Linked DNA regions of Caenorhabditis elegans. The protein of the gene in region 1 interacts with the protein of each later gene in a pairwise test. Each region holds a gene or a part of one and is shown on either strand. Other genes may lie near its edges.

Region 1 (4,618 bases):
TTCTCACAATTTTCCAATTGACAAGTCACATAAAATAATAGGGAACTGCTATTTGAAAGACTTTTTGGTTTTTGATTTCATATTGCCTAAATGGCTTCGAGGCTAGTGATTTTTGGCGAAATAAAAACCTAATTTTTTTAAATCGTGAGCTCTTTTTGTTTCAACTTTGCAAAAAGTTGGCAATCCCGAAACTAAATTATTTTAAATGGTGAACATGCTACATAATTTTACTACTTTTCTAAAAAAATATATCATTGGTATTCCCCACAAAATTATTTTTTATTGCGTTCATCTATTCAAAAATGGTACTTCTAAAAAAAGGGTTTAACATCAGCCCAAAAAACGTAAAATAAGCTGATAAGCATTATTGACACTTTCCAGCATTGCCCTCATTCATGAACTCTGTCCGTAAGAGTTGTTCATCTATTTGCACATTTCTTATTCAGAATATAGAACTAGTGAATCTTTCCGATAATCCTCCAACCACTTATAAACTGAACCGAAACCGAAACAAGGCAATAAACATTTGGTGAAGATGAGCTTGTTCTTCTTTATTCTGTGGAGACCGTTTAGAGGTGGATAGCTTTTTTTCTAAGAATACAGTTGTTAAAAAACTAGTTTTATAACTTTTGATACAATTATTTTCAATTTTTTAAATAAGGTTTCTACCGTTTTTCTTCTATTACTATTATGCCTATAATACCTTTAAAAAAATAGCTACTTACCTATTTTGAACGGAGGTTTTTTTGTTATTATTATTCTTGTTCGATGATTCCAGTTAATTCATGAAAAGCCAAGAAATTGAATTTTTGGAATTGATAAACTACTAATTTCAGATGAGCAACCAAAAATTTTAAATGCATTGGTCTAGCAATAACGACGGTCTTTGAAAATTATCTTACTATTAGCAATCATATTAATAAAGGAATTGCGGTAATTCAAAAGGGAGCATCTTCCTCCGATTGCTCTTTGGCAACACAGTTTACCTCTCTCGTTTGGTATTAAAACTCCGCACGGGCCGTATTAGGAGTGTAAATACGGGACCAAGTAGTGTGACGAACCCTGCGCACAAGTATCAAGTTGACTCTTCTTTCTTACATTCCTACATTACCACCACCACCACTTTCAATCTTCCGTTTGGTATTCACTGACTTCAACATCTTCTTATTGTGCCAATTTATTTGTTCCTTCGCGTGGTTCAGAAGGTTTCTGAACGCTAGAGCGACGTTTCTTCGGTCAATCCCCCTATAATTACTTGTATTTCCGATGCGATCATATTCCCACAATTTTCTGAATTTCCCATGTTTCATCGGCTTTGAATAGAAACCGAATAGAATTTGACCAGAAAACAAGACGCAAAAAAGTGGAACATTAATGCTATAATTTGATGAAAAACCTTGCTTGTGGAACTTTGTTTCAAGTTTTTACCCTAGGTATCCATTTCTTCGGTTTCAAGTCCAGTTAATAGGATTAAAGCAAGAAATCAAAAGATTTATTTTGAAACTGCCAACTTCCTTTACCGTTCAATCTTTCAATTTTCTTTCGTTTCTTTTACCGATTTAAATCTTACTCTCTCTGAAGGTGCAATGTCGATTGGATTTTCCTGGTTCCGCAGGAGATTCAGCTACTACGAAGATAAGCAACAGTTCTCTGAATGTGCAAATGACGATGAGCCGACTGTTCAATTACAAGGTGTGATTTTTTTTTAACGTAAAATAGTTTTTTATTGTGATTCGATTTTTTTCATATTTGTCAAACTCTCTTTTGTTTTCAATATGTAGTATTCAATTAGAAAAGCAAGCTAAATTTTTTTAAAATGGCTAAAGTTTATCAGATATTAATAATTTCTACTCTCAAAAAACTTAAAAAAAACATTCCCCTAAACTCGACATTTTGAATAAAATTTCGAAAAAAATCCATATAGGAATAAAAATTACTGCCTTCGTGCCTACCAGCTATTTCAAACTTACATACATTGAAGAATAAATACCCAATCCTTGTAAATTTGACCTCAAATGTGACGTAGCTGAGCTTCTGTCTGTTCCATGTTTTGATTCGTAGGGGAGTCGATATTCAACGGGTCATGAAAAATTATAAATTTTATTTTATTTTTCATAACATTTTTATGTTTCAGATTTTATCTAGGTAAATTTAGGAAGAACATATCGTACTGAGTAAACCATTTGAATATTTTCATGAGCATGTTTTGAAGTTTTTCAAACGAAATGCAAAAATCACCTGCAAAACTTTTACCAACTCTTTTCCCATTTTCCAAGATCTTCCGAACTTTGAGACCCACTCATTTAAAGTCCTCACCAAACATCGGTATTACAAGACCAATTTTCGCATCTCCCGATTAAAACTTTAGAAATACATACAAAAAAAGAAACTTTCAATTTCCAAGTCCGATCATCAAGGCACATATTGTTTTGTTTGTTTTACATCCTCTTAACCTGGCTCTCGTGTAACGTGTCGATGTTTACTACAGTTTCCTTTTTTTCTTTAGTTGAGATGACACACATCGAATCATTTGCTTTTCTGATTTTCACCTCTTTTTGATCGAACCATCGCAGTTTTTATTTTATTTTTTGCCCTCTCTCAATTATTATTTACTAAAGAGAAATTGGAACGTGAGATTGTTTAGAAAAAAAAACTGTTTGATTTTATTGAGAAGCTTGTTTGATATGTTGGAAGGAACCTCAAGTGTTCATAAGATTTAGTAGTTGATGAGAACTTGAGGAAATGAGATATATAGAGAGAAGGTGGAGGAAAAGTTTACAAATTATCATTTTGTACGTGTTCGTGTTGTTACAATTCAATTTCATTTCTCATAATCATATCCTTCTCGCTTGTTGCAAAATCCGCATGACCTAATACTAAATCCAATTTTAGGAAACATAACCTCATCCTTTGTTTAGTTTTCTCTTCCTTCCTAAATGTCAATATTTTATTCACAACCTAGCGATTTTGTTTAGCAAGGCATTTTGGGAGCTTGGAAAATTTAGTTTCTCTAAATTCTACAGTCCTCCAACATTCATGTTAATAGTCTTAATTTAACAAAACACTATATCCCAAATTTTATTGTTACACTCATTTAAGTTTTTTTTTCCCATTTTATAAATTTTTTCATTCCATTTTTTCTGAAAACATACAAAATCTAAACAATTATTTATTTCAATTTAGTCAAGTCATCATTTAAACCTACATATACATTTAACTCGAAATTCCAAAATTTCCGAATTTATATAATAAATCCAAATAGTTCACATCATCATAATAATTCAACAAAAGTTGACCTCAAACGCCACCCATGCGCATTTTCATGGATGCCATGCGTATGGTTATTATTATTATGATTTTTATTATGTCCATCATCACACTCCGAAACTCTTTTGATGCCCTTCCGCAGATTCACGCGCCTATTTAAATGTTGACGCGGCAACGGTTTTATTATTGTTTCGATTAGGAAAATTCTTATGTAATCAGCCGATTGCGTAGAATATGAACATTTTGCATTGCATTGTTTTTGTTTGGTTTCAAGAATTTTCTGAAGCATAGGTTACATCATCGTGTAATTAGTTGAAATTCAAAATACAAGGTTTTCCATCACCAAATTTTGAAGACAAAAAGTGCACCACAAAATAATTCTGCCAGATCATAGTCAGTAGCTATAGTTTATAAATTGTAAATTCCATAAAAAATTGACCCAAAGTTACATTTTCTTCATTGTATAGACGAAAAACAAGTGTAAATGAGTTCGTAATCTAAACAAATTGAGTGTAGCAAAGTACTTGGACAACGACTACAACCTCCCATCCAGAAAATGTCATTTGTCAGTTTTCGATGGCATCTTTCCCCCCCCCTCCATTTTCCTTCTTCTCTCAGAATCCTAGAATACCCATCAATGTCTTTTAGTCAAGATATTTCTCGGCCCATTTTCTTGAATGGAATCATGCCGCATTTTCTCAATGCTTTTTTGTTCGTCCTTTCCCTCCCTTCATTCAATGCTCAAAGTGTCAAATATTAGAAGCCACAATTACACCACAATGTGTGTGCGCGGAAAAGTGTGGAGGAGAACATCTGCGACTAATGTTATTCAATAATCTCTCTTCTAATACAAAATATTTGAATATTTGTTATCTGCTGGGTGGCAATGGCGGCGGCTCCGGTGAAAAGCCGGCACTCGAGAATTGTTTGGAGATAAACGATATTCACATTTTCAAAAAATAATTGTTGATTATATTTGATTTCGAATTCAAACCTGCCACTTCAATTCTGTTGCTCCTTGAATCTTTTTCAAGCCAAAAATTTCAATTTGTACATCACCAAATGTTTGATAACACCAAAGACATCCAAGTTGTTAATAACTGAACTTTGTTATTTTGCACAAAATTTCAGAAGAAATATTTTGATTATTTTTTGATACTTTTTGAAGTGCTAGAATCAACATTGAATTTGAGCTAGACAAATGACCAAACCATCAAATCTCTTAGAAAATAAAAAAGTGAAGTCGTATTGACCATATAAACAGTGAACTTATTATTGCTTTGCACGACATTTAAGCACAAATATTTTTGAAATTATATTGTTGATTGCTCAATATATCACCAAAATATCT
Region 2 (4,743 bases), 1.1 Mb from region 1:
CAAAAACTGTTCTGGAATACATATATATTTTTCAGGTTACAATTAGTCAAAAAGTGCACTGAAATATACGTTTTAATTTCACGAATAACCCAATTAGTTCAATGTATTTTTGGTCAACCAACGTTAAAGTTTGGCTTCCAACCAATTATCATTTCTGATCAACCACAATGTTTTTTCTTTATCTGCAAGTTAATTTTTTATTTTTATCCAGATGTTTGGCATATTTTTCAATTCTTCACTAGCGCCCACTTCTTGCACTTCCGGCGCCCTGAATCTAATGCATCTGTTGCAAGAATTGAAAGACCAATCAACACATTGTTTTCTTCACGAGATACTGAAGAAAATGAATAAAAACAGAGAAAAAGAGCCATGTGATTAGTGACAACTGTTGCTAACAGATACCATAGCTTGGACTTGGTACGTGATGGCAACGTATGGGTCAACAAAAATGATTGCAGAGGGGGTGCAAAACAGTCAAGTCGAGAAAATATGAAAAACAGAAAACAAAGAACAGAAAAATGGGTTTGAGAGTCAGTATAATTTATAAAAGAAAAATTGTACATAGAAATTAACCATTTTTGTAGAAGAAGTTATTTTTCAAGCATCGTTAAAAATTATTCAAAGCACCTTATTTCATATTTAATTTTAAACATGGTTAAATGAACAACACGGTGCGCAATCAGGAAAACTTGAAATCTGAAACTGTTGTTGTGATCTTCTTCGCAACTGTTCAGATAGCACTAGTGTAATGTTAAGAGTGCGCGAATATAATGGAATATAATGGATCACACCTCCTGCCATCAGGTAAACGTCTCTGTTATCACATATTTCCAACTATTAAATTTTTACCTTTTACAGTTTTACATTTTTTTGAAAAAAGTAACTTTTTGTCTTCAAAATCCCTGACGAAAATATCAAATATTTTAATCGAGACTGCAGAGGAACCGATTGATGATTTGGAAAATCCAGCTTTACCTGTGTAAGAACTGAAAAGTTTCATAACCCTAGGGTATTCCCAGTTACATTCCCCACTGGCTAACAATAGCACCCAGTTTTTCATCACCTTTCTTCAAATTTCTCGGCGATTTGTTAAAAACAAAATTTGTGTCCCTTCTCTGATATCTCTATGTCTCTAAACACAAGTTCATCGGAAAACGAAGGAGGGTAGGTGTTGGTTGGGCTCCCGAAGTGAAAATAGAAGAGCAAGAATAGAATATTAGAGAGAGAGTGCAGAGAGGGCGGGATAGCTCCCGGGATTCCGTTTTCTTCTTCTTTATCTTCAACGATGATGTGTGTGCGTGTTGTATAGATTCTGTTGCTCCCCCACAACTCGCTCCGAAGGCTCAATACAATTCAATTGATATTGGAGGAGAGCCTACCGGAGTGGGAGGATAAGAAGAAACATAAGAAGAAGAAGAAGAAGAAGCATGCTTCTGGTTTTTGATGCTATGAAAACGGCACAAAAAGATGATTGAGGTCCCTTTTCAATACCTTCTCTCATCTTTCAAATCCCATTGAAACCTAAAACTTCTCACCACGCTTTACCATTGTTCTCCAAAAACTTATAGCAATGTCTATAACTTTTTTATCTCTGAAAAGCAGTGTTCCATTTTTCTTTTTCCTATTTTATTTCAATTGTTTCTCACATTTCGTTTGGATTCTTTGCTTGTCAACCAGCTTCTTCTTCCACTTTTACCGTCTAATTTTCAGGGCAGGGAGCCATCAAACCCACGACCACTAGATCCATCTAGAAATGTCTGGAAATCCAGACGCATTCGAAAATGATCCAGGATTCCCATTCTTGGGAATCTCGAGAGAGGCCAGAGCTGCCACTGCTGCTCGTCCTTTTGATTCCAAGAAGAACTGCTGGATTCCGGATCCAGAAGATGGTAAGTCTTGATTTCGAATTGAAAATTTTAAAGAAAAATTTTGAACCACGTGCTGTAATATTTGGCAAGAATATTTTCCCATAATTTTAATAGTAACTGTGATATGTTCTAATTTTAGAAATCAGTTGTCAACGCTAAAAATGTAAGGGTTACAATAGTGGTATTGCAAAGAGTTATGATGGTTAAGTTTGTAAATACTTTTTTTCTGTTAATGAAACTAATTTGGATACAAATTTTTCATTTGATCTAAACAGAACATCTTAATCAAAAAACACTTTAAAACTCTTGCTTTGATATTGTTTGTTCAATTTCCTAATTCTTACCAAACCAATTCAAGCTAACTTTCATTATGTCCATTCCATTAACAAAAACTATTATTACACCTTCTCTCTCATCGCCAGTGTCCACATTCATCCTACTCTCCTACGCTTTCATCTGTGTCTCTCAGATCTGCATTTTATCTATGATACATCACACTTTCCACCGACCCCGCCGGGCAACCAGTGGTGGCGGATTTTTGAACATCTGAGGTTCTCTCATCTCTCGGTCATCTGATGAAGCACATACACACATACACACAACGGCACTTTGTAATCTTTCCGGAGAAGCGGGCAGGCACACACGTACGCTATGAAGCCGGAGCAAGAGCTTCTCCTGCCGTTTGAACTGCGGCTTCTGCTGTTGGCAGGAAAGATGATGAGATTTCTTGGAATTTAAGATTGAGATATTTGACGTCCCACATTTTATGGATGGACAACAATATGTACATGTTTTGAAGATTTAATATTGAAATGTGGATATGAAATCGGAATTTAAAAAGTCAAGGTCAATAAAATGGTAATTCTGACCAGATCTATTATTCGAGGATGACAAATAAAACTAGGATTAAATCAAAAATACTAAATTTGAAAATGAAAAAGAAAAGATTGTTCTATAACTTATAAATCTCACAATAATGATTTTTGTACAGAAACAAAAACTAAATGACATAATCGAATAAAACATTCTGATTTTAATCAGCCGCATGCGACAAAACATATATTTCTTGGAGGCTAATATTAAATTTCAGGATTCGTCGCCGCCGAGATCCAATCCACCACCGGCGAACAGGTGACCGTGGTAACTGTGAAGGGAAACCAGATTACCGTCAAAAAAGATCAATGCCAAGAGATGAACCCGCCAAAATTCGACAAGACCGAGGATATGGCTAACTTGACCTTTTTGAATGAGGCCTCTGTTTTGGGAAATCTCAAGGATCGTTACAAGGATTTGATGATTTACGTAAGGAAATTGAAACTATTCAAAAAAAAAATTAATACTATTCAAAAATTGAACCGACTTAATTTTCAGACATACTCCGGACTTTTCTGTGTTGTAATCAATCCATACAAACGTCTTCCAATCTACAGTGAATCTGTAATCAAGCACTTCATGGGAAAGAGACGTAATGAGATGCCACCTCATTTGTTCGCTGTCTCTGATGAAGCTTACCGTAACATGGTTCAAGGTATGTGAAAATTTAATTGTTTTAGAACTTTATTTTTCAAATTTCAGACAAGGAGAACCAGTCTATGCTCATCACCGGAGAATCTGGAGCTGGAAAGACTGAGAACACCAAGAAGGTTATCTCCTACTTCGCTATTGTTGGAGCCACGCAAGCTGCTTCCGGCAAAGAAGCCAAGGATGGAAAGAAGGGAGGTACTCTTGAAGAGCAAATTGTGCAAACGAACCCTGTGTTGGAGGCTTTCGGTAATGCTAAAACTGTCAGAAACAACAACTCTTCCCGTTTCGGAAAGTTCATCAGAACTCATTTCTCTGGATCTGGAAAGTTGGCTGGAGGAGATATTGAACACTGTGAGTGATCTTTTATGATTAGTTTTTAAGAAAAAATGAGATTGGAGGAATTTAAATTGAAACTAGTGAAACCATTCAAAAAAGAAAAATATTTTCAGATCTTCTCGAAAAATCTCGTGTCGTCCGTCAGGCACCAGGAGAGCGTTGTTATCACATCTTCTACCAGATTATGTCTGGAAACGATCCAAGTCTCCGTGGAAAGCTTAAGCTTAGCAACGACATCACTTACTATCACTTCTGCTCGCAGGCCGAGCTTACCATCGAAGGAATGGATGATAAGGAGGAGATGAGACTTACTCAGGAAGCTTTCGATATCATGGGATTCGAAGACAACGAGACTATGGATCTTTACCGTTCCACTGCTGGAATTATGCACATGGGAGAAATGAAATTCAAGCAGCGTCCACGTGAAGAGCAAGCCGAGCCAGACGGTGAGGAAGATGCTCTCAACGCTGCTGCCATGCTCGGAATCCAAGCTGAGGAGTTCCTCAAGGCTTTGACCAAGCCACGTGTCCGTGTCGGAACCGAATGGGTCAATAAGGGACAGAACTTGGAACAGGTCAACTGGGCCGTTTCTGGACTTGCCAAGGCTATCTATGCCCGTATGTTCAAGTGGATCATCACCAGGTAAATAACAAAGAGCAAATATTTTTAATTAGGGTAAATATTATTCTACTTATTTTACTTTTAGATGTAACAAGACCCTTGACGCAAAGGAGATTGAGCGTAAGCATTTCATCGGAGTGCTTGATATCGCTGGATTCGAAATCTTCGACTTGAACTCTTTTGAACAGCTCTGGATCAACTTTGTCAACGAACGTCTTCAACAATTCTTCAACCATCACATGTTCGTTCTTGAACAAGAAGAATACAAGCGTGAAGGAATTGCCTGGACCTTCATCGATTTCGGACTTGATCTTCAAGCCTGTATTGAGCTTATTGAGAAACCACTCGGTATCATCTCTATTCTTGATGAGGAGTGTATCGTTCCAAAGGCCAC
Region 3 (5,768 bases), on another chromosome or scaffold:
CGCTTTACATAAGTATTTAATATACACTGCTGTAGGTCTTTAATATCGTTATAAATTTTAATATACGCTATAGGTTCTTAATATACACTTTAGGTATTTTATATTCGCTATAGGTTTTTAATATACACTATAGGTATTTATATTTGCTATAGTTCTTTAATATACGCTATACATAAGTATTTAATATACACTGTAAGTTCTAAATACCCCCATAGGTTCATAATATACGCCATAGATCTTTAATATCGTTATGAATTTTAATATACGCTATAAGTTTTTAACATTGCTATTGGTATTTAATATAAGCTATACATATGTTTCAATATCGACATAGTAGGTATTTAAAATACGCTTGCTCGCTTTAGAGTGCCTAGCTCAATTTTCCACATAGTTCAGATCAGTTAAGAGAACTATAACCTTTACTATTTTAACACATAGTTTGCAAGAATTCAATGAATTTTGATGGTTTTCCCCATTATTTCACACACATGAATCTGAATTTAAGAAAATCTTTGATTATTATTAGGATTTTTTTCATAATTCGTGTATATTTTGCAAGATAACAGATAAACACACATATATATCATTACTAAACAAAATGTGTAGTGATTTAAATGAGTTTCTCAATGGAAGCTTGATGATCATCCGGAGCGTATTGCAATCCATTATACAACTTGTAGAAGCAATCATGACAATATGGCTTCAGATCATGTTCTCTGTAGGTTCCATGCATGTTGAGTGCCTTCTGACAATATGTGCACATGAAATGATAGGTATGGAATTTCTGTGCCCGTTCCGAGTTTGGCGCCAACGCTGTCAGAATCGCGCCGTCGATTTCTTCACTGCAGTAAGCGCAGACTGCGGCGGCCGGTGGCGGTGGGGAGCCGGAGATGTGGAGCGTTCGGCGGGGAGTTGTGCTTCGGGCGCGGCGGCGGCGCAGGCTATCGGTCTCCTCGGACATTTGGACTCCGTATTGGCGGGAGTAGTCGTCTGTCTCCATATTGTCGTCCTCTGCTGGAATTTTTCGAATTCTACATTTTTTGGTCCAAGTTCTGAAAACTCACGAATCTTTGGCCTCTGCGGGATTTGTTCCTCTGGTGCCGGTGTAAGTCTCAAGGTGTACTCGATTTCCTCCTTCTTCTTCTTATTTCCATCTTCACCGTCACGTCCACGTTGTCCACGACGCAAAACTTCAGTCGTGGCGTTGACATCGTAAACAAGGGCCGCCAATGTGTCGGTCACCGCGTTTTGTCCTGAAAATGGATTCGGTGAAAGTTAAGAACAGACCTGAAGCTGGGGGAGGAGGTCCAGTTGGGCCCTAAAGCTATTGTTGGAGGTCTAGGTAAGGTCTGAATTAGGCTTGAAGCTTAGAAAGGGTTAGGGAGGGTCTATATGAGATCTGATGCTTAGGAAGGGCATAGAGGGGCCTGAAGCTTGATATGGGGCCTAGATGGGATCAGGGGCTTAGGATAGGACTTGAATGAGGACTGAAGCATAATACGGAGCCTAGGTAAGATCGAAGGTTTTGGATAGACCTAGCTGGAATCTAGAGCTCAGAATATGGTCTAGAGGGGCCTGAAGCCAAGGACAACGTCTAAATGAGTCAAAGGCTCAGAATGGGGGAGAAGTGGTTCTGATGCTTAGGATAGGGCATATGTTGGATCTGATGCTTAGGAAGGGCCTTGACGGGACTGAAGCTAAAATGGCTTCTGAAGCTTACATGGGGTCTAGGTGGAGTCTGAGGCCTAGCATAGGCTTTGGATAATGTCTGAAGCATAATACGGAGTCTAAATATGATCGAATGCTATGGATAGACCTAGCTGGAATCTAGATGTGCCCTAAAGCCTAGAAAGAATTATGTAGCAGATTATAGATGCGATCTGAACCTATTAAGGGTTCTAACGAGATCTTACTCTGATCCTGTTTCAGCTTGACAAGCTGCTGATTCATGTCATCCGAGCTAACAGCTTTCAACCTTGCGGCCAGCCAATCGTCGGTCGGATCAATCGAGATTCTACCATTGACTTCCATCTCGGTTTGGAATTGACGACGTTCCATTCTCTGAAACAAATTTCAATGTATTCCCGCACAAGATCTGAAAAAATCGATACCATCTGTTCTTGTTTGCGACGAATGATCTCGGTCGTCTGCTCGACATCGTTTTTCAACGCGGTAAGTGTTCCATTAACGATCTCGTCTTCTGCAAAATGTAAGGGATAGAGACAGAGAGATTTTGATGATCTGAGAGGTTTGTTGCTTAAAAATGTGCACCACTTTTTTTTTGGGTATTTCCTTAAAAAACGGCTGCATAAGAAAGTTGGAAATGACTCTTTTATAAGCAAATTTTGAATAAAATCTGATGTTGAGAATCAAAATTTAGCTGAAAATCCGAAATTCCTGTGGGAAGGTCTAGCTAAAAAATGGCACGGAAATAAGAAAATTAGGTATAGAAATTAAGCCTAAGCCTAAGCCTGAGCCTAATCCGAAGTCAAAGCCTAAGCCTAAGCCTAAACCGAAGTCAAAGCCTAAGCCTAAGCCTAAACCTAATGCTTAACTGCTCAAAACTAGCAAATTAATAGGGACCGTTTTTGATCCAAATCGTACAATTTTTGGTCAAAATCCAACTTTTCTGATCAAAATCGGAATTGGACTATTTTCAATCAAAACTGGACTATTTTCGGTCAAAATCCGACCTTTTTAAGCCAAAAATGATAGATTTTTGGGCGAATTTTGGACAATTTTTGGTCTAAATCCGACTGTTTTCAGTCAAAATTGGTCAAAAACGTGCAATTTTTGTCAAAATCGGACTACTTTTTGGTCAAAATCAGATAATTTTTGGAGAAAATCGGTCAATTTTTGGTCAAAATCAGACAATTTTTGGTGAAAATCGGTCAATTTTTGGTTAAAATCGGTCAATTTTTGGTTAAAATCGGTCAATTTTTGGTTAAAATCGGTCAATTTTTAGTTCAAATCCGGCTTTTTTTTGTTAAAAATCGGTAAATTTTTGGTCAAAATTGGACCATTTTGGTCAAATTCAAACCATTTATTGGTAAAAACATAACAATTGTTTGGTCAAAATTAGATAATTTGTGATCGGAATGAAACCATTTTTTTGGTTAAAATTGGACTATTTTCAATCAAAACTGGACTATTTTCGGTCAAAATCCGACCTTTTTAAGCCAAAAATGATAGATTTTTGGGCGAATTTTGGACAATTTTTGGTCTAAATCCGACTGTTTTCAGTCAAAATTGGACCATTTTGGTCAAATTCAAACCATTTATTGGTAAAAACATAACAATTGTTTGGTCAAAATTAGATAATTTGTGATCGAAATGAAACCATTTTTTGGTTAAAATTGGTCTATTTTCAATCAAAACTGGACTATTTTCGGTCAAAATCCGACCTTTTTAAACCAAAAATGATAGATTTTTGGGCGAATTTTGGACAATTTTTGGTCTAAATCCGACTGTTTTCAGTCAAAATTGGACCATTTTTGGGTAAAATCCAATCATTTTCTGTTAATTTTGACATTCTAGTATAGTTAACACAAAATTTTGTTATTTTCAAAGTTAATTGAGTATTACACCTCAATTCTTTAGTTTAACATTTCCCATTAGTTTAACATACCCCCCCCCCCCCCCCCCAGAGGACCCCCTAACTTCGACTCACGTTGACTAAACTCCTCATCATTACGGAACACCTTATCCTTATTGGAATTCCTGCTCTCACTACGCCACCGGGCCACGTGGCGCTCCACAGGATCCGGAATCGCAGAGAGCCGACCATCCTGAGACGGGGTCCCGGTGCCATGTCTCTGTTGACTACTACGAGATTCCGTAGTCCATTGATAAGATTCGAATTGTTGATGGCTGGGTTGAGGGGATATAGTCATCTGGAATTTTGAGTAGGAGGAGGAGGTGAACATTTTTGGGTTTTTCTGTGAGACTGAGTAAGAGGTTAATAATGGCATTTTCAATATTTAACTAGTGTGCACCTAAATTCTAGGTGTCTAAATAAAAAAGTATAATACAACAAATAAAGAAAAAAATCGTGTTAGTTCAAATTCGTGTAAAGGAAAACGTAGAGGAAAATCGACACAGCAGTGGTACACTGATGTGTATGAAGGGAGAGGAAAGCAAGAAGCAGCAACAGAAATATATTACAACATATGCTCTCACCGGCAGAAGAGAGCAGGCTACTGCGGGGGCAGAATCTGCCCGGCAGATGATGGTGAGGAGAAGACAATGAGGAATGAGAGATAGAGACGAAGATCGAGGAGTCTACAAAGATCGATTTGTTGAAATTATTTGAATTTTTTGCTCTTTTTTTTTTGAATTTGTTACCGTGAGTTAGGGTATTAACTAGTACCATAATACTATGCACGTATACTATACGGTAATTAAAGGTGGAGTAGCGCCAGTGGGGAAATTATTAAAAACCACTCCTTTGGTCCAAAAATGACCAAATATCATGATAAAACTTTTCAAAAAATTTTTGAAAATTTTTTATTTACTGTCAAAAAGTAGTGACTGTAGTGATTACTCAGTTTTGCCACTCATTATTTTGGAGGTCGATTGATTCAAAAAAAAAAAAAAAAATTTCCAATTTTTTTAATACTTTTTAATACAATTTTGTTTAAATTATTTGAATTAAAACATTGTAGGGGTCGAAACATGCGACATTTTTATAAATTTCCTCAAAATCTCGTAGTTTTCAAAATTTTGGCAATGTGCCAAAACTTTGACCGGAAATTATGGAAAATCTAAAAAATTTTGGAGTGCTTTATTATGATATGTTTGGATTTTTTGGATTTTTTTTCTTATGATATAAGTGTATTTAGACAAAATCCCCAAAAACTGCCAACTGACAAGCAATTTGTTACACGGTCTTATAAATTTTTTAAAACAACATTTGTATATAGCTCAGGGGTGGGCGGTAATAGCAAAAAAAACTGGGCAAATCGGCAAATTTTCGGTTTGCCGAGTTGCCGGACAATTTCAATTTCGGAATTTGCCGGTTTGCCGGAAATTTTCAATTCCGGCAATTTGCGGGTTTGTCCGACTTGCCGGAAATTTTTATTTTCGGCAATTTTCCGGTTTGCCAAGTTTCCAGAATTTTTCATTTTTGGCAAATTGCCGGTTTGCCGAGTTGCCGGAAATTTTCAATTCCGGCAGTTTGCCGATTTGTCGAAAATTTTCAATTTCAGCAAATTGCTGGTTTGCCGATTTGCCGGACAGTTTCAATTTCGGAATTTGCCGAGTTGTCGAAAATGTTCAATTCCGGCAATTTGCCGGTTTGTCCGACTTGCCGGAAATTTTTATTTTCGGCAATATTCCGGTTTGCCAAGTTTCCCGAATTTTTCAATTTCAGCAAATTGCTGGTTTGCCGATTTGCCGGACAGTTTCAATTTCGGAATTTGCCGAGTTGTCGAAAATGTTCAATTCCGGCAAATTGCCGGTTTGTCCGACTTGCCGGAAATTTTTATTTTCGGCAATATTCCGGTTTGCCAAGTTTCCCGAATTTTTCAATTTCAGCAAATTGCTGGTTTGCCGATTTGCCGGACAGTTTCAATTTCGGAATTTGCCGAGTTGTCGAAAATGTTCAATTCCGGCAAATTGCCGGTTTGTCCGACTTGCCGGAAATTTTTATTTTCGGCAATATTCCGGTTTGCCAAGTTTCCCGAATTTTTCAATTTCAGCAAATTGCTGGTTTGCCGATTTGCCGGACAGTTTCAATTTCGGAATTTGCCGAGTTGTCGAAAATGTTC
Region 4 (7,702 bases), on another chromosome or scaffold:
CTCTGCGGCTCTTCTCTCGCATTTTTTGTAGAAGATCTACGTAGATCAAACCGAAATGGGACACTCCGACTCCCCCCGCTGGAATTGTCAGAAAATCAATAATTTTCTACGCAACCCTCCCGGTCCCCAAAATCCTTGGCATCATCATCATCAATGCTCAGTTTCCATCCGAGAATCGTGTTACAACATCCGTCCCTGCTTCTCTGCGTCTCCTATCTCTCTCCATATCTCTTTATCTCTAACTCACACGACTCCCACGGGAACCAAATCTCTGCGTCTCTCACTGCATTTCACACTCTCTCTCCCCCGTCTCTTCTCTTTCTCTCAAATGTTCTTGAATACCTTCTTCCGATGAGCTTCTCGCCCCCTCAAAACCAACTCAATTTTATGATATACTTTCTAGTGATATGATATTCCGTTATTTTTCTGCCACGTGGCAAAATTTTGGGATGTTAGGCCACGTTAGGCCCTTTCTTGGCTGTTTTGGGAAAAGCGTCTGAAAATGGTTTTTTGTCTGAAAAACGTCATTGAATTTTAGTGCTGCAATTGTGAAGTGGTAACTTTGTTAAGCTTCACAATTTTTCGTTATGCTCCGGGTTCAGGTATTTTGTAAACCCAGTCTTTGAGAAGAAAATTGCTAAAAAAACTTGGGTCCCGCCACGAAAACGCTAGGAATTTCAAGAGTTTTTACAGGAATTGATACATAACTTTTCAGTGCTGTAGAGGAAAAATTTACAGATCTTTTGGGCACAAAAATGTGCGATGGGGGCTTTGAAATAACGTGAAAATTTTTTTTGAATTACTTTTTTAATCAAAAAAGTCCTTTGGAATATTGGGGTTTTTTAAAGCTTTTTTAGCAAATTTATACTATTCTGAAAACCCTTAAACTGCTTAATTTAATGAAACTAGGTATAACTTTGTCGAACTATTTTCAGCCAAGTTACAGTAATTCTTCTGAAACTCGCTGCGGAGCTTCAGAGCAAAAATTACGATTTCCTCAAAATTTTTAAGAGAAAGTTACCATAAATTAATATTTTTCTGATGGCTCGGAAATTTTCCTATTCAAATTTTGAATTTTCAAGACCAGAAGCTCGTTTTCAGCCAAATTTTAGAGCTTTTTCAGGAGTTAGCTGTGAAAGGTAAAATTGGAAAATGTCCTAGAAGCGAATTTGCCGGTTTTTTGATAAAAATTTTCAGGCAAAATCCAGGCAAATTTGTACTTTTCTGAAAGCCCGAATTCTCATCTTTTCAAATTCTTAGCATTCAAGACCAGAAGCTCATTTCAAGCGAAGTTTCAGAGCTTTTTCTGAGCCAACCTCTAGACGACGGAATGGTCAACGAAAAGATATCCCACAATCGCTTGCCGTTTGTTCTCTGCGCGGGATACTACTCCCTCTCCACAATACATACATTTACAACAAATTTCGTCTTGTTCTCTGCGTCTCCTACATAGTCCTCTACTATCTCGCCTGGCCAGCGGGGGAACAATGTTGACCCCCCCCCCCCCATGCCGTCGCCTCAGCAAAATTCTACTGCTTTCTGTTGTACTTATTGCATTGTTTATTTGTCTATGTCTCTTATATCTAACTTTTTTGGCTTGAAATTATAGATTCCGGGCTTCATGGGGCCCGGGAAAAAGTTGGAAAAATTGAGAAAATTTGGAAATTTTTGGAGATTTTTATTGATTTTTTAATAGTTTTTTTCTTCAATTTTCACCGATTTTTTTTGTTGTAATTTTACATGTTCCTGCTCAATTTTTCTTGATTTTTTCAAATTTTACACTATTTCACACGTAAAACCTTATATTTCCAGTCAACAATGTCTTTGTCGACTCATTACCATGCGCACAAGCCAAATGTGCCCATTATAATGGAGGATGTGTTTGGATGGGTCCGCGAGGGTAACGCTTTTCAGGTGAGTTTTGTAAATATTTTTATGGGGTTAGGCTCGATGAGAGCTTTTGAAAAAGTATAATTTTGTATAGGTTTTTGAAAAAAAAAATTTGGAAAAAAATTGAAAATGTTTGGAAATTATTTTTTTTAATTCTAGAAAAATTCAAATTTTTTCGCTGAAAAGTGGGCGGAGCGTATATGAATTTATACTTTTTTGAAAGTTAATGTTTTTCCTCAATTAAAAAAATTTAAATTTAAATCCGAAATTCTGAGATTTTCTAAAAAAAAAATTCATTAAAAATTTTTTTTTTTTAAATTTAAATTCCTATTTAAAATGGCGGAGCTTATACAAATTTATACTTTTCTAAAAGTTAAAATTAAGCTGAATTTGAAAAAAATTGTTGCCAATTTGAAAAATCAAGTTTAAAGCTAGATTTTAAGCTTAAATCTGGAATTTCCGGTAATTTTTGTCCGATTTTTCTTTTCATGCTAACTTGATCAACTTTCACCGAAATTGTCCAATTTTTTTGCAGAGGATTTATCACAATCCTTACTATAGACTAAGACTACTATCAAAATTTCAGGTCCGCGTCTGGTTGGACGATCACGAGCACGATCTCAACGTCGGAGACGATCACGCCTTCTCACTGCTCCACTGGGCCGCGAAGGGCGGCCACGTGGCGATTGCAGAGATGCTCCTGTCACGTGGAGCACGTGTAAACTCTACGAATATGGGAGATGACACGTCATTGCATTTGGCGGCCGCCCATGGACACCGACAAATTGTGGTGAAGCTTTTGTCGAGAAAAGCCGATGTTAACGCTACCAACGAGCACGGAATGACTCCACTGCATTATGCTTGCTTTTGGGGATATGAACAAATTGCTGAGGTGATTTTATTGATAAATTCGAATAGAGCTTGTTTAGAGCTTCAAAATAAGTATAAACTCGATTGGGAAAATTTTTTGGGAAAATTGGAAAAAAATGATTTTTCAAAAAATTCAGAAAATTTTTTTTCCAAATTTTCGAATAAGTTCTTCTCGGAAAGTTTTAATTTCGCAATGAAAATGTATAGTTTAGGTGAAATTATTTTTATAATCAAATATAACTAGATTTGAGCTTTAATAAATGTATAAATTCATAAAGGATGCGCCCACTTTTGACCAAAAATTTTGAGCTTTTTTTTGCCGGAAAAAATTTCTGAAAAAAAAATCATTTTTTCAACACTTTATAACTTTGGAAGTTTTTTGGCTATTTTTTTTTATGTTTTCATACTTGCGTCCTAAATATTTTAAAATTTCAATTTATTATACCAAAAACACAAAAAGTCCCTATTTACAGTAGCCCCTGGGAGTTTTCGTGGCGGGACCCAAAAATTTATCGAAAATTTGTAGAATTTTCAAAACCCGGGCATGATTATACTTTTTTGAAAGCTCTTAACAAGCTGAATTTGAATTTGTTAATAATTACCTTGATTTCTTGCAAAATAACAACTTCAGGACCTAATCTCCTGCGGCGCCGCTGTCAACGTGTGCAACAAGAAGGGAATGACCCCACTGGACGTTTGCCAGCCAATGTGCAAAAACACTATTTTGGGTAAGTTTTTTGTGCATTTTAATCTGAAAATTGAATTTTTTTAGTCGGAAAACATATAGATAAGATTTTTAGAAGAAAAAATGCATTTTTTGAAAAAAAAAACATTTTTCAACATTTTTACAACTTTTCAAAAACTCATAACTTTTTAGTTTTCAAGCGATTCGATTTAATTTAACGTTAAAATAAGTCTAAAAGATCAAGCTTTTTGGTAAATTAACTTAAAAAATTGAAAAACATAAACTACAGTAACCCTATAAGTTTTCGTGGTGAGACCCAAAAATTCTGAAGTCTTCTGGGCAATGCTCATTTTGTGTGGAGCCTGGGCATGATTATACTTTTCAGAAAGCTCTTGGTGAGCAAAATTTAATTTTGATACTTAAAAATAATGTGTACAAAAATTTAATGTTTTTTTCAGCAAAGACTTTTGACTCGCAAAAAGTTTTTTTTTTGGGATGACTTTTTTCTAATAAATTTTTAAATTATCGATTTTTTCTAGAAATTGCTCAAGAACATGGACAATCTCCAAATGACCGTGTACCATTCAAGGATACCACATGGAAGGGTACAAAGTCCCGTACTCGGGACGCCACACTGTCCCGCTACACCGGAGTCGACGTCTCCTCGCTGAATTTGATCACTAAAGTGGGTTATAGATTTTTTCAGTGGAAAATAACTTAAAAATTCAAATTCAGCGTAAAAAATTAGTTTCAATCGTTGAAGGATGGGAATTTTCCGCGAATTTCGAAGTTTCTGAAAAAATTCGAAAAAAAAAATTTTTTAAGGAAAATTTTCAAACATTGAAAAAATCATAACTTTGACTGTTTTTGAGATTTTCAGCCGGTTTTAACCTCAAAATATGCACAAAAACTTGTTCTACGTCAATAAAATATTAAAATACTGTATTGACACAAAACAGCTTAACACTATGGATTTTCGCGGTGGGACTCAAAAACTCGTCGAAAATTGGAACCCGCTACGTAAACTTCCAGAATTCACTTACCGTAGTGTATATTATTATTTAATATAAATAATACTGTTTTTCAATATTTTATACGTGTTTTATGTCAAAAATCTGCAAAAAATCTTAAAAATTGGCAAAGTTATTAAGATTTGAAATGTTTGAAAAAAAAACTTCATTTTCGAAATAAAAATTTTTTTTGACCTGAGTAAATGTATACTTTTCTGAAAGTCTAGATCAAGATGAACTTGATAAGCTACCTCAAACTTTAAAAATCCCAAAAATTTCCAGCTTAACCCCCACTCTGTTACAGATCGCTGAATCACACTCCGGAGAACTGTGGCGTGGAAAATGGCAGGGCAACGATATTGTGGCGCGAATTTTGAATGTTCAAGAAGTGACCGCCCGTATCTCACGTGACTTCCAGACCGAGTTTCCGGCTCTTCGTATTTTTGCTCATCCGAATATTTGTGCGGTGCTCGCCGCGGCTAACCAGCCACCGAACTTGGTGATCATCTCGCAGTACATGCCATTTGGAAGCCTGTATAACGTGCTCCACGAGCAAAGTTGTGAGTTTTGAAGGTTTTCATTGAAAAGGGCGCAAAAATTAGTCCTAGAAAATGTTTTGAAAATTTTTTTTTTTGATTTCGAAAAAGTAGAAAAAAATTTTTTTTTGATAAATTTTTTTTTTTCAAAATTTGTACTTTTCCCAATTTTTGAGATTTTTTGTTAAAATACTGCGCACAGATAACTCAAAAAATTGTCTTTTTAGTAAAATTATCAATATCATATTAGATAACTTATCTACAGTAACCCAACAGTTTTCGTGGCGAGACCCAAAAATTCTCGAATTCATGCTAAAATGGCCGGAGCCTAGGCATGATTATACTTTTCTGAAAGCTCTTAACGAGATCTATTAGATTTTGACATTAATTTGTGAAAAATCGCTGAAATAATTTAATAAAATCAATAAAATATTGCAGCTGTCGTCATTGATCACGGGCAAGCCGTCAGATTCGCGTTGGACATTGCTAGAGGAATGAGCTACTTGCACAGTTTGGACCCTATGCTTTTGAGGTTAGTGTGGTTGAATGGAGCTTAAAAAGAGCTCCCAGAAAAGTATAAATTTTTATAGGCTCCGCCCATTTTTCTGGCGGGAAAATTTGAATTTTATGTTTTTAAAAAAATTTGGATTTTTTTTTCCAAATTTCAAAAGTTCATAACTTTTTTAGTTTTTGATACTTTCAAACGGTTTTTGGCTTAAAATGTGCCTGAAATAATGTTCTTCGAAAAGTAGCTACAACAAAAATTTTCAAAAATTGTTTTCAGGAATCCAAGAGTTTTTGGGGCACTACTCGAAAAAAAACTTAAAAAAAATTTTTTTTTTTTTTTTTTTTAATTTTTTAATTTTCCCCCCATTTTTTTACGTTTCTTAACTAATTTTAGAGTTTCAGATAATTTAAGCTATCATAAGCCTAAAGCCCAGTTTCCAGGTTCTACCTCTCCTCCAAACACGTTGTAGTCGACGAGGAGCTCACCGCCAAACTCTCAATGGCAGATACGAAATTCTCGTTCCAAGAGGTCGGAAAAGCCTATTCGCCTGCCTGGATGAGCCCAGAAGCCTTGTCACGGGCTCCAGAAGACTTGAATATTAGAGCTGCCGATATGTGGTCATTTGCTATATTGTTGTGGGAGCTGAACACTCGTGAGGTCCCATTCTCTGATCTACCGCCAATGGAATGCGGAATGAAGGTAAGGGAGGGTTTTTGGAGGGCTGAAAGTGTGAAAAATGATGTTAAAATCCTAAAATTAATCTATCAGTTAATTTCGGATGAAATTTTGGAAAAAAATTTTTTTTTGGCCCAAAAAAAATTGTTTTTCTATTATTTTTTTCAAAAGTGTTCATTCTTAAATTCAAACTCAGAAGCTCAAAACAGGCCGTGACAACATTTTTTAGCTCGTTTGGGCTCAATGTCGTAAGATTCGGTGTTTGCGTACTTCCGAGACTACAGTACCCCGAAAGCCCTGAAAATGGAATAGAAACGTCTAGTAACGACTGACCACGCTCAAAATTTTGCGAGAAATTCGAATTGAACCACAGTTTGTTGACATTTTGAGATAAAATCAAAATTTTTTTCTGAAATTTTGTCAAAAAATTCGAATTTCTTCGTATAATTTTGATCAAATATAATTTTTATCAAAAAATTTGAATTTCCCGTCACTTTCTACCTCAATAAACTCAAAAAACTCATTTTCCACCGCTTTTCTGCAAGTCGTCGTCAGATTCAGTGTTTGCGTACTTTTAGGGTTACAGTACCCCTTACACCTCCAAAATCAGCGTTTCCAGACCCAAATTTCACGCTGAATCCAAATTTATTAATTTCAGATCGCTCTGGAAGGTCTCCGAGTGCACATTCCCCCTGGAATCGCCCGTAATATGAACCGTTTGATGAACATTTGCATGAACGAGGACCCGGGACGTCGGCCAAACTTTGATCAAATCATTCCGATTTTAGAGAGAATGATATTATGATTTATCGATTTTGCTTTTCTAATGTTTTCAACAATTTTTTTAAAATTCAATTTATCAAAGCTTTACATCAAAAGTGCCTGCTCCTTGTCCAGCCCCATCGCATTTTCCGTCTATATATTAATTTTAAATGTTAAACTGTCAAAAAAAATTGCTCAATTTATGAAAAAATCAATAAAATCTTATGAAATGTAAGGATTACTGTACGCAAACACTCTTCGACAAAAAAGTTCGCTGCAGTAAGTTTCATGTATCCAAATAATCAGTTGCCAAAAATTTGCACGTGTAGCCTAGTGGCTAGTGACCTCGCCCGCCAATCACAGGGCCTGGGTTCGATCCCCGCAGTGGCAAATTTATTTTTTCCAGCTCGGTTTCACTGAAATTTTTAGTTTTTTCCATAAAAATCGATAATTCCTTTATTAATGCGTCATCCTATGTCACTGTCTACAACAAAAATACCCATAAAACACATAAAAATCAACAATTTTCGGCTCTAAGATGCCCAATTTCTCGTAGTATCAATGTAGTCGCCGTCCGGAGCCTCGTAGTTTCGAATGGGCGGAGTCAGTGAGGGTCCCTGTAAGAAATTTTAAAGGATTTTTCGGAATTTTTTAATTTTTAGAAAAAAAAATTTGGAAAATTCCAGGTTTTTTAAAAAAATTTTTTAACCAATTTTCGGAATTTTTCGCAAAATGTCAGTGAGTTTTCAGATTTTTCTAATAAATT

The links.
Region 2: the proteins of uig-1 (region 1) and myo-3 interact in a two-hybrid assay, tested with the Caenorhabditis elegans proteins (one study listed by BioGRID).
Region 3: the proteins of uig-1 (region 1) and unc-95 interact in a two-hybrid assay, tested with the Caenorhabditis elegans proteins (one study listed by BioGRID).
Region 4: the proteins of uig-1 (region 1) and pat-4 interact in a two-hybrid assay, tested with the Caenorhabditis elegans proteins (one study listed by BioGRID).

What each region holds. Positions count from the first base shown.
Region 1 is NC_003283.11:13,289,361-13,293,978, reverse strand, and holds the start of uig-1 (Protein vav), read left to right. Parts: upstream 1-1,586; coding exon 1,587-1,692; intron 1,693-3,262; exon of another isoform or gene 3,263-3,412; intron 3,413-4,618.
Region 2 is NC_003283.11:12,231,311-12,236,053, reverse strand, and holds the start of myo-3 (Myosin-3), read left to right. Parts: upstream 1-1,710; 5' UTR 1,711-1,753; coding exon 1,754-1,889; intron 1,890-2,273; exon of another isoform or gene 2,274-2,409; intron 2,410-2,464; exon of another isoform or gene 2,465-2,657; intron 2,658-2,958; coding exon 2,959-3,170; intron 3,171-3,239; coding exon 3,240-3,396; intron 3,397-3,443; coding exon 3,444-3,743; intron 3,744-3,841; coding exon 3,842-4,370; intron 4,371-4,434; coding exon 4,435-4,743. UniProt on the Caenorhabditis elegans protein: Essential for muscle contraction. Involved in ovulation likely by regulating the contraction of gonadal myoepithelial sheath cells.
Region 3 is NC_003279.8:14,380,845-14,386,612, forward strand, and holds unc-95 (LIM domain-containing protein unc-95), read right to left. Parts: upstream 3,894-5,768; coding exon 3,671-3,893; intron 2,543-3,670; exon of another isoform or gene 2,455-2,542; intron 2,201-2,454; coding exon 2,112-2,200; intron 2,062-2,111; coding exon 1,914-2,061; intron 1,254-1,913; coding exon 1,065-1,253; intron 1,015-1,064; coding exon 611-1,014; 3' UTR 516-610; downstream 1-515. UniProt on the Caenorhabditis elegans protein: Required for the assembly and integrity of muscle dense bodies, which establish the adhesion sites of the muscle cells to the extracellular matrix.
Region 4 is NC_003281.10:88,920-96,621, reverse strand, and holds pat-4 (Integrin-linked protein kinase homolog pat-4), read left to right. Parts: upstream 1-1,812; 5' UTR 1,813-1,818; coding exon 1,819-1,914; intron 1,915-2,476; coding exon 2,477-2,782; intron 2,783-3,391; coding exon 3,392-3,488; intron 3,489-3,984; coding exon 3,985-4,130; intron 4,131-4,759; coding exon 4,760-5,015; intron 5,016-5,429; coding exon 5,430-5,523; intron 5,524-5,939; coding exon 5,940-6,198; intron 6,199-6,832; coding exon 6,833-6,979; 3' UTR 6,980-7,169; downstream 7,170-7,702. Other genes in the region: mrpl-40 (Large ribosomal subunit protein mL40), read right to left, coding at 7,470-7,553. UniProt on the Caenorhabditis elegans protein: Probable pseudokinase that acts as an adapter protein. Component of an integrin containing attachment complex, which is required for muscle development and maintenance.